Linked DNA regions of Mus musculus: all the other regions are reported to be linked to region 1. Evidence: microRNA targets listed by miRTarBase, many of them from high-throughput screens and not tested one by one. Region 1 holds a microRNA gene; each other region holds the end of a gene's coding sequence.

Region 1 (4,271 bases):
ACTACAGACCAATTACTGCATTTCTCATTTTTATTTGACAGAAAAAGTTGCTTTTACTGTACAGATTTTAAAAAACCAAAATGCCTTAAACAAAGTTGGGGGGGAGAGGGCCTCACAACCTTGTAAGGGGGTGCAGCAGGGCCAACCAACTTCAGCTCCTTCCTCTTTCAGGAAAGATTACAACTTACCAAGTTAAACCATCAGTCACCCAAGAATTTAGGGAGCTAACTCCCTGGATCATCACAATCTGAGGCCTAGATGTCCTGAGCTGTGCCCCTCCCTCCCTAGACTCCCTCCCTCCCACTCCAACCCCCAAAACACAAGAACCAGGAAAAACTCACAGAGATCAACATTTCACAGGAACCAAAAAAAAAAAAAAAAAAAAAAAGGGTGGGTGGGAGAGGACGCTCTCCCCTCAAGATGCTGCCAAGGTTCAAGGGAAGGCATACAAAGACTCCTTCCATGATTCTTCTGGGAAAAATGAGGAATACTCATGTCTCCAGAGTATGAGGTGTAGTGGAATCCAGATTATGGAGACCTGGAATAGAGAAGACTGGTCATTCTGGGTCACCACACATATCCCTATCCCTAACTACTAGCTCTCAGAAGGGCCAGACTTCCAAGGAGACACACCTGGAGGAGCGGTGACGATTAGAACGGGGACTAGGTGTCTCCTTCCTCTTGTGACCAGGAGAGTGACTGTCCCCTCGCTGGCCTCTCCAGGAAACTCGCTCACTGCTACAAGAGGAGAAATTAGGTCACAGAACAATACCAAAAACTTTTAAATTTTGCTTACAAATTAATGGTAGCTAGTTGAGTCAGGTTGCTAGCACCTGCTATAGGCCCTACCTCTGTAGATCCCTTGGTGAAGGTTGGGGCGAGGGCTGTCGACGCTCAACGGGTGAGTAACTGAGGGATCGGGAATCCCGAAGGGAGTCTATTGGCTTCCGAGGACTTCGAGACCTAGGAAGCAGAGTAGGCCTCTATAGCTCCACATCCTCCCAAACCCACCAGCCAAGCATTCAGGACCACCCACCCAGGTCCTGACCACCAAACCTCACACCACACAGGGCCAGCCTCAGACCCACCTTTGTCCGCACTCACCCATCCGCCCGCACACCATCCACCGAGTACCCCAGTGGACAGGGCACAGGGTGCAGCGGGGGATGCAAAGATAAAAGAGTCCCTGCCCTTGGAAGAATTTTGTTTGGTAGTAAAGGTTAACAATGAAGGCACACACGCCCCCTACATAGGAAACAGCCCAGCAGGATGGATATGCATGGGCCTGGGGATCCAGAGAAAGGATGGGGACCTGGGCAGGACAGGGAAATGGCAGGGCAGTCTTCTCGGAGGTGCTGTTTGAATGCAGTCTTGCAGAACGAGTTCACCAGGCAGACAAGGAAATCCCAGGCAGAAGGAACAGCATGTCCAAAGGCATGGGGCTCTCCTTAGACTGCAAGGCGCTGGGTATGGCCGGAGCACGGGGCATGTGTGGGGGCGGGCAGGAGGAGCACAGGGCGGGCAAGGGCAGCTGGTGAAGAGCCTCACACGCCATTCCCGCAGAGGTGGCACTTTATCCTGCAGGCCACAGGGCGTTCCGGAAGGATTTGTGGAGTGAAGGGAAGTAACCAGATGTGCGTTTTAGAAAGATCCCTCTGGCTACGTGTGGAAGAGAATGGCGTGGAGGCAGGGAGACAGGGAGGAGGCTGTGGACAGAGTCGGGAGAAGATGACGGTGGCCAGACCAGAGCCCTGCAGCAGCAATGGGGAGACTTAGAGCTAGATCTCTGAGACCAGGCTGCTTGTCAGGGGAGGGGAGAGGGAGGAAGAATCCTATGACTTCCCAGATATGGCCTGGGACACCTCAGTTAGATAGTGCAGCCCTTGACCAGAATACAACACTGTGGGAGGATGGGAGGAGTCCGGCACTCCTTCTCCCGTACAACCAGTCACAGACGTCCACACGAGGCACCCCAGCAGGAACCTCACCCAGGGTCCCCTTTCTGGAGAACTCACCCCAACCCCCCTTCCACAACAGGCAAGAAAGCACTCACCTCCTCTCGCCAGGGGGTGGCTTCTTGGGGCTTGCAGGTTTGGGTAATGCCTGAGGGCCAGGCTTAGCAGGGGAGGGGGAGGAGGAAGAGGAGGAAGAAGAGGAGGAAGAAGAGGAAGAAGAGGAGGAGGAAGATGAGGAGGAGGAGGAAGAGGAAGAAGAGGAAGAGGAGGAGGAGGAGGAGCTGGAACTGGAGCTGCTAGAGCGCCTCTTCCTTTTGGCCGGGGTTGGTTCCTGAGGACGTCCCTCTCTAATAGCCTCCTTTGGGACTGGGGTGGGGCTGGGAACCCTGTGAGAGAAGAAAGGTGTCACAAGGAGACAAGATGCCCCAACCCCAACCCTACCTTCCTTGGCCTGGAGGAACGGCAGTGGGGGAGGGGTGCCTGAGAAAAGCCCTGGGAAAACACGAAGGCAGGCCAGTGAGTAGTACTTCTCTGGAGCAGTGGCACAGAGCTGACCAAACCTCTGCTAACACAAGCAACAGGCTGGGGCCCGAAGCACAAGGGATCAAGGTTAAACCTCAAGAATGTCCCTGATGAAGGATTAAGGCCCCTGGACTCAGATGTGGAAGCTGAAGCTGGGTGATCTCCTTCCTTGGAGAGCCGCAGCTTGGGGAGGCCCCTGTGAGTGCAGGTTGGCTGGGGAGGGGCCGTCCTGCCTGGAGGCAGGGAGAGGGATGGGATGACCTCTGAAGATCCTTCCAGCCCAGGGAGTTCCTCTTGAGGTCTAACTGCCATCCCTCCTGCTGTAAAATTAAGTCCATTTCCTCTAGTTCTGTCCTCTGTAGAGATGGAAAACTTATCATTATCCTCTGGAGAATTAACCTTTGGAGACTTTTATCTGTCCCATTCCTCCCCACAAAGCCCCCGCCCAACATTCTTTCTACTCCCAGCTTGAAGGCCAAGGTCCCCCATACTTTCTCAAAGCCAAGTGCTTTTGACAAGATTTCTCCCTCCCTACTCACCCACCCATTGTTAAGTCCCTGCTCCCTAGATCCCTTAATTGCCTCACCTTTTCAGTGCCACCTCAGGTTGAGCTGGAAGGCTGGAACCCTCTGAATCACTAGAACTGGAGCCAGAGGAAGAGGAGGATGACGATGAAGATGATGAAGAGGAGGAGGAGCTAGATGATGATGAAGAGGAGGAAGAGCTCCGACGTTCCTTAGCTGGTTGCAGAGCAGCCAATGTAGAAGGCTGCTGGGCCCCAGTAGAGGCAGGTGGCTCCCCACCTTCAGCATGGGATATCCCAGGGGCAGGGCCAGAAAGCATGCCATTGTGGTCACTAGCAGAGGATGTGGACTTCGCTACTGTCCCGGATGAAAGGGACTGAGACCCTGCTACAGGAGTGGTCTGGACAACTGAACGAGATTGGTCTGAAAAAGCAGATGGCACAGGGGACCGAGGCCGATCCTGTGCAGGAGGGAGAAGAGATTGCGAAGAAGCCTGAACCATTCTTGAAGCAGGGGAAGGAGCCCGCTCACGCTCAGAGGTCATTCTAGACTGGCTTGGGGCAGATGGTGGTGTTCTGGACCTGGCTCGATCAAGCATTAAAGGTGAGGTTCTGCCACTAACACGATCATAAGCAGAAAGGGGCACCCTGGGACTGGTGAGGTTTGCACCAGACAATGCTGGAGCCATCCTGGAACTGGAGAGATTTGTGGGAGCCAAGCCTGCAGGGGTTCTAGAGCCAGCAATATTCACAGGAGCTGTGCCATGCGCAGATCGAGGACCCACCACCAGGTTTGCGGGGGTTGGAGCCTGGGGTGTTCTGGAACTGGAGGGGTAATTTGCAGCAGTTGGAGGTGTCCCAGAGCCTGTGAGACTCAAAGCTGCTAATGCAGCTGGTGTTCTAGCTCCTGCTAGGTTCACAGCTGAAGCTGCAGGGGTTCGAGGATCTGCAAGGTTCACAGCTGAAGGAGCCACTGCTGTTCTAGGGCTGGCTAAGTTCATAGCTGCAGCAGCAGCTGGTGTTCTTGAGTCAGCAAGGTTCACAGATGCCGGAATAGCAGATGTCCTGGCACTAGCAAGGTTCATAGCTGCTGCAGATGCTGCTGGAATCCTGCTGGCAAGGTTAGCAGCTGGGGCTGTTCTAAGGCTCATGAGAGGTACAGGTGCTGGAACCTGGGACATTCTTGCAGCAAGGCCAGCAGCAGACATGGATGGAGGTGGCCGGGCAGTACCAAGACTGATGGCTGTCAAGGCAAGTGCAATTCTAGACTG
Region 2 (3,000 bases), not on the chromosome of region 1:
CAAAAAAATTACGAAGGGCAAAAGTCACTGTCTTTCTTCCCACATTGTTACCCCAGTGATTTCTGTCTTCCAGAATCCCCTATTTTGAAACCAGTGCTGCCAACGGGACAAACATAAGCCACGCGATTGAGATGCTCCTGGACCTGATCATGAAGCGGATGGAGCGGTGTGTGGACAAGTCCTGGATTCCGGAGGGAGTGGTACGGTCCAACGGCCATACCTCTGCGGATCAGCTAAGTGAGGAGAAGGAGAAGGGGTTGTGTGGCTGTTGAGACGCCAAGCGAGCCCCGTGGCAGCAGCGCATGACCCCTGGTTGCCGCCAGCTCCGCTGTAGAGACCAAGCCGGCAGCTCGATGAGATGAGCAAACAGCCCCTCCTATGCCAGGTGCCTCTCCTCGCCTCCAGGAGGGTCACCTCGGGCATCCATCTGTAACGCGCTGCAGCTTTGTATGATTTAGTCCATGAATCGGAAGAAATACTTCACAGAGCCAAAAGTGTCTTATAAAAGCCCACGGTGGCGGGTCATTTAGGGATCCAAGATTTCAGCCATGAAAGATTTCATCTGTTATGTAGAACGCTGATGGTCCTGTCGCCTGCCTTAACACAGTCGCCTGCCTCAACACAGGACAGCCCTAGAGTCTCATTGAAGACATTAAGATCTTTGAGCAAGGAAAAGCTAGCACGGTCTTGAGAATCCAGATTTCAAAATCCATACTGTAGACTATCACTCTCAAACACGTGAATGTCAATAAGTGTGTACACACAGATCAATGTCTTTCAGCATTGCTTTTTAACATAGCCTTTCCTTTGACATGAGCATAAACAGATGGCGGCCATACCTATAGACTCTGAATAGATCGGATTGACTCACTGTGAGTTTGGGGGTGGGGGGAAGGGTTTATGGAGCAGGGGTGGGTGAAGTAGGGATCAGTCAGATTGTCTGCTGTTAGCCGAGGGGTCATGAAGACTCTTGTGTCTATCCATGGTCTGTTGGGTTCAGTGCACCTCTGAACATCGCTCATGCTTCTACAGTATGTATGTTTGCATGTATGTATGTATGGTCTCTTCATATGTACGTATGTTTGGTCTGGCACCTCAGGATCTGCTTTCACTTGTCTGGAGACTGCCAATCTGACTTTTCCCATCAAGTTTTGGTGGTGGTGGTGTTTCCCAGTTTGTTTTCTCCCCCCCCCCCTTCCCCCATTAATGTAACTGAAGGAATCTCTTTTTAATTAAACGGCGTGTTTATTTGCTATCTGGAGGGAGGGAGTTCACTGTCTGTATTTAAGCAGTCACATTTGTGGGCCAGTTTAAGAGAAGTGTTTTGTAGCCTGTAGCTTTCACTGGGAATGTGGGGCACTGATGTTTTTTGATAGTGGAAAACATACTTTGCATGGTAGTTTCAAGTGGCTTTTTTTTTTTTTTTTTGAGACAGGGTCTTTTCATATAGTTTCTAGCTGGCCCAAAACTCCCTTTGTAGACTAGGCTGGCCTCAAACTCACAGAGATCCACCTGTCTCAGCACCCTAAGCACTGGGGATTAAAGGTGTAGTTGTCACACCTGGCTCTCAGAAGACTTTTAAAAAATTGCACATCTATCATTTATTGCCATTGTCCTTTGACCCCTCCTCAGAAAAAAATAGCCATGGCCACTAAGCTTTTACTGTTTTTGAAATAAGGGACTCTTTGAAACACCAAACTCATCATTGAGGCCTATACATCTGAATCCTATATACCCAGGACATGAGGCCCATCATAGCCGTGCCTTCCAGCGTTGTTCTAAGACTTCAGTGGAGCATACTGCTTGTTTGGCACATTTCTTAATGTCTCTCTTGTAAATACATCAAGTCAATATGCCAGACAGGTATTGGTGGTTCGTTCTTTTCATCTCCCATACTTGAGAAGCAGAGGCAGGCGATGAGTTTGAAGCTAGGCTTCACTATAGAGTGAGTTTCAGGACAGCCAAAGATACATAGTGAAGTCCTGTTTCAAAAAACAAACACACACTAGGCAGTGGAGGCCCATGCCTTTCATCCCAGCACTCAGGAGGCAGAGGCAGGTGGATTTCTGAGTTCGAGGCCAGCCTGGTCTACAGAGTGAGTTCCAGGACAGCCAAGACTACACATAAAAAAGTGAATGTTTGCACAGTGGCATAGTGCGGGTTTTGAGAAGTGAGATGCCGCTCCTGTTGGCTCCACACCAGGCACGGGGCTTAATGTGTGTGATAGTTGCCCAACACAAGAGCTGCCTTGAATTGTTGAAACAAAACAAAACTGAGTTCTCTGAAAATGGTTTAAATTTGATAAAAAAAAAAAAATAACCGTACTTTTTGTCACTGTATTTTTCTATTTACAAATCTGTATAAAAAATGCTCTTTAGTGAACTTTGTGCCAATTAAACCATAATAATAATAAAAAAAAATAATAAAAGAGGTCCAGTATATCAAGTTCTGGTGAATATTTCAAACTAGGAATTGTGATGCCAAAGGAACCCGAATTCAGGAATGCAGAGTCCACGAGATGCTTGCTGAGGACCCTGGCCAAAACAGCATCCAGGGAAGATAGCTCGAGATAGATTTTTTTTTTTTGGTCAATTTTATTTCATGTATATGAATGTTTGCCTGTGTGTCTGTGTCCTTTGTGTGCATGTCCTTGGAGACCAGAAAAGGCCATTGGATTTTTTGGGACTAGAATCACAGACAGTTGTCAGCTGCCATGTAGTTGCTGGGAATTGGACATAGGTCCTCTAGAAGAGCAGCCAGTGCTTTTAACATCTCTTCACCCCCAATTCAAAATGTTTTATCCAATATTTATTGAGTACCTTTGAGAGTTGGTGAACTAGGTAGTCTGATGGAGCAAAACAAAAATGGTTAGGTCCTGCACTCAAAGCAGAGCTGGGAGTGGTGCCAGGGCACTGGAGAAGGCTTGGCTACTGACGGAAAGAGACTCAGCCTCCTCTCAGATGCACATCCCTGAGTTGGCTCTGATCTAGCACTCATGGG
Region 3 (3,000 bases), not on the chromosome of region 1:
AGGCAACTAGGAGATGATTGGCTTCCAGGCAGCTAGGACAAGAGTCTTAAAGCCCACGACCACAAAGACACACTTCCTCCAACAAGGCCACACCTACTCCAACAAAACTGCATGTCCTAATAGTGCCACTCCCTGGGCCAAGCATATTCAAACTACCATCCTGTCTGTCTTCAGATCAAGATGTAGAACTCTCTTAGCTCCTTTCCAGCAGCATGTCTGCCTGTGAGCCATGATGTTTCCTGCCATGACAATAATGAACTAAACCTCTGAACTGTAAGCCAGCCCCAGTTAAATATTTTCCTTTATAAGAATAGTTGTGGTCATGGTGTTATTTCACAGAAATAGAAAATCAAACTAGGACAACAGTTACTTTAATCCTTGTGTCTGAAAGTCCAATATATAAACCCCCTCTGGCTCTCTTCTATTTTCCTCTGAGGTAAGGCCTCATATAGCTCAAGCTGGCCTTTTATTCTCTGTGTAACGGAGGACCTTGACTCCTCCTGCCTTCACCTCCCAAATGTCAGAGTTATAAGAATATAACACCATACCAGGCTCCTTTTTTCCTGCTACTTTTCCTTTTTTTTTTTTTTTGATTTATTTATTATATGTAAGTACACTGTAGCTGTCTTCAGACACTCCAGAAAAGGGCATCAGATCTCATTACAGATGGTTGTGAGCCATCATGTGGTTGCTGGGATTCAAACTCAGGACCTTCAGAAGAGCTGTCGGCGCTCCTAACCGCTGAGCCATCTCTCTAGCCTCTTCCTGCTACTTTTCAATTATAAGATACTATTTCCTGCTGGTGGCCCACACCTTGAATCCCAGCATTTGGGAAGCAGAGGCAGGCAGTCTCTGAATTTGAAGCCAGCCTGGTGTATGTATGCGTTCCAGGCCAGCTACAGCTACACAGTAAGACAGTGTCTCCAAACAAAAACAAACCAAAAGAGATCCTGACTCCTGTTGTGCCTAGCAAGTTTTGATACAAGTCTGGACATTACATATGAAAACTTGAGATAGCCTTTGGCTCTCATTCACCTGTAGGATAACCGCAAACTGTATTCTATAGGCAATATCTGGTTTGTCACCTGCTTTTTGGCCTGGCCTTAAGAATTTTGCTGAATTTCTAAATAGTTGAAAGAACATTTGGTGACACATGAATGAATTATGATTCATACTTTAGTGTGCATATGAAACCTTATGGGAGGGTAATCATATTTACATATTCATCTATCAGAGGTTCAGGAAGACACCTGCATTTGGATCTTAGTTGACATTTAGTTCTTGAGGGGACTGGTCAATTTATGGCTTAACTGCACCATTAGTTGTAACTAAAAGCCAGGTACTAGCCAGGCTGTTAGTTGATGGGCCCAGTACTACAATTTTGGTACATCCTCTACAGTTTACTTTCTCCTTAAGTTCATAGATCTTCCAAAGCCTTGCTGCTTCAGTACTGTCTTGAAGTACGCTAACCTGTGCCTATGTGTGTGTGTATGTGTGTGTGTGTGTGTGTGTGTGTGTGTGTGTGTGTGTGTTGCAGCTTTCCTAGTATGAACAATCAAGAAATCAGACTGCTGTTGTGGAGACAGATGTTCAAATGTTTGTATTTCCACATTTTTCAATGGCTTCCACTTATTTTGCAGAAGGAAGTACCTGGAGAGCTTTGCTGGGTGGGTCCTACCTGATCTAAATAACTACACAAATGAGAGTCAAAACAAATGGTCAGAAGCAGCAGGCAGGAAAACAAGTTTACCTTGTTACTATGATGCCAGCACACCAACAAGCATATAACTTAACACTTTAAAGAAATACATGCATGCTGGAGGGAGTCAAACTTTAATATTTTATTAGTTTTGAAATTGAGGTATATTGACGTGGAAAAACACTCATTTTTATGCTTCCTTTGATGAGTTTTGACACACACACTCCTGACGTTTTCAGTCATGGCCACAGAACATCTCCAGTATCCCACACCAATTCCTGGCCTCTTCTAGGTTACTTTGCTCTCCACAGTCAAAACCCATCAGATTCTTATCCTCACATTAATTATAATTTTTAGAATGAGTTGAATTGTTACTACTCTGCCCACACATTGCCATGAGTCTTCAGATGCTGTGAATATATTTTCCTGAGTAGAGTTGACTTCTCCAGACCCCAGAGTCTTTTCTTTTGAAACAGAGTCTCCGTAGTCCCAGCTGGACTCAAACTCATGGTGATCTTTCTGCCTCCGTCTTTCCAGTATTGGACCTAAAAATATGGGTCTCAAACCAGAAGCTCAGTTATTGTTTAAAATTGGGGCTGCTTGTTAACACTGGTTTTGCTCACAACCGTGATGACACATGGCTAGATAACTGGAGCTATCTGATCGGTTTGTTTGTTTTTTCGAGACAAGGTTTCTCTGTATAGCCCTGGCTGTCCTGGAACTCACTCTGTAGACCAGGCTGGCCTCGAACTCAGAAATCCGCCTGCCTCTGCCTCCCACGTGCTGGGATCAAAGGCGTGCGCCACCACCGCCAGCTTATCTGATCATTTTGGAACACCAAAATACTTAAAAATTAATTGTAGAGGGAGGGGAGGGGAAACTTTGGTTTCGGGTGTAATGTATGAGAAAAGAATAACAAAATGAACTGTAGAATATAATTTCAGTGGCAACTCATATTATCTCAGTGTGCAGTAGACTTTGAAATATTCAGGGGAGCAGCACCCTCAGTTCTCAGATGAGGAAAACGGTCGCCAAGCAGTCATCCAGAATCTATTAGCCTTTGGTGCCAGGGCTGGGTTTTTCTTTTGCTTAATCCACCATCCTTATAGATATGAACACCGAGTCTGTAATTCCAAAAGTCAACTTTCTTGTTTCTCCTCTGAAATTTCATAGGTTACCCATTCCTTCCATCCTCCAGCATAATGTTGAGCACTGAAAAGATACATTAGTAAGTGTTGCTTCATAACAGAAGAGCTTTGCAATAGCCACTCATAAAAATTATTTAGATTCTACATCTCTTT

What was found. The annotated mature microRNA mmu-miR-5125 reads UCUGCCUGGGAUUUCCUUGU and lies in region 1 at 1,396-1,415, opposite strand. An mRNA with a match to its seed (bases 2 to 7 or 8) in the 3' UTR can be bound and repressed. Matches are read on the target gene's strand: a 7mer-m8 pairs with bases 2 to 8, a 7mer-A1 pairs with bases 2 to 7 and ends in A, and an 8mer does both.
Region 2: miRTarBase lists Rab27a as a target of mmu-miR-5125. Seed matches in the 3' UTR shown: 7mer-A1 at 2,047-2,053.
Region 3: the mRNA of Tstd3 is a reported target of mmu-miR-5125. Seed matches in the 3' UTR shown: 7mer-A1 at 2,468-2,474 and 7mer-A1 at 2,218-2,224.

Annotation. Positions count from the first base shown.
Region 1 is chr17:23,820,483-23,824,753 of GRCm38, reverse strand. It overlaps Mir5125 (microRNA 5125), which reads right to left and starts at 1,463; the gene lies at 1,385-1,463. Srrm2 (serine/arginine repetitive matrix 2) reads right to left here. Exons shown (of 15, transcript NM_001368687.1): 11 at 3,064-4,271; 12 at 2,054-2,341; 13 at 850-963; 14 at 634-738; 15 at 13-538. The coding sequence ends at 529. It overlaps Elob (elongin B), which reads left to right. Exons shown (of 4, transcript NM_026305.2): 4 at 1-14.
Region 2 is chr9:73,095,185-73,098,184 of GRCm38, forward strand. It overlaps Rab27a (RAB27A, member RAS oncogene family), which reads left to right. Exons shown (of 6, transcript NM_023635.6): 6 at 74-2,430. The coding sequence ends at 272. Among named protein-coding and RNA genes, the nearest start is that of Khdc3, 5.7 kb to the right of the region's middle.
Region 3 is chr4:21,755,565-21,758,564 of GRCm38, forward strand. It overlaps Tstd3 (thiosulfate sulfurtransferase (rhodanese)-like domain containing 3), which reads right to left. Exons shown (of 4, transcript NM_029840.1): 4 at 1,818-2,911. The coding sequence ends at 2,839. It also overlaps a transcript of Ccnc not described here. Among named protein-coding and RNA genes, the nearest start is that of Tstd3, 10 kb to the right of the region's middle.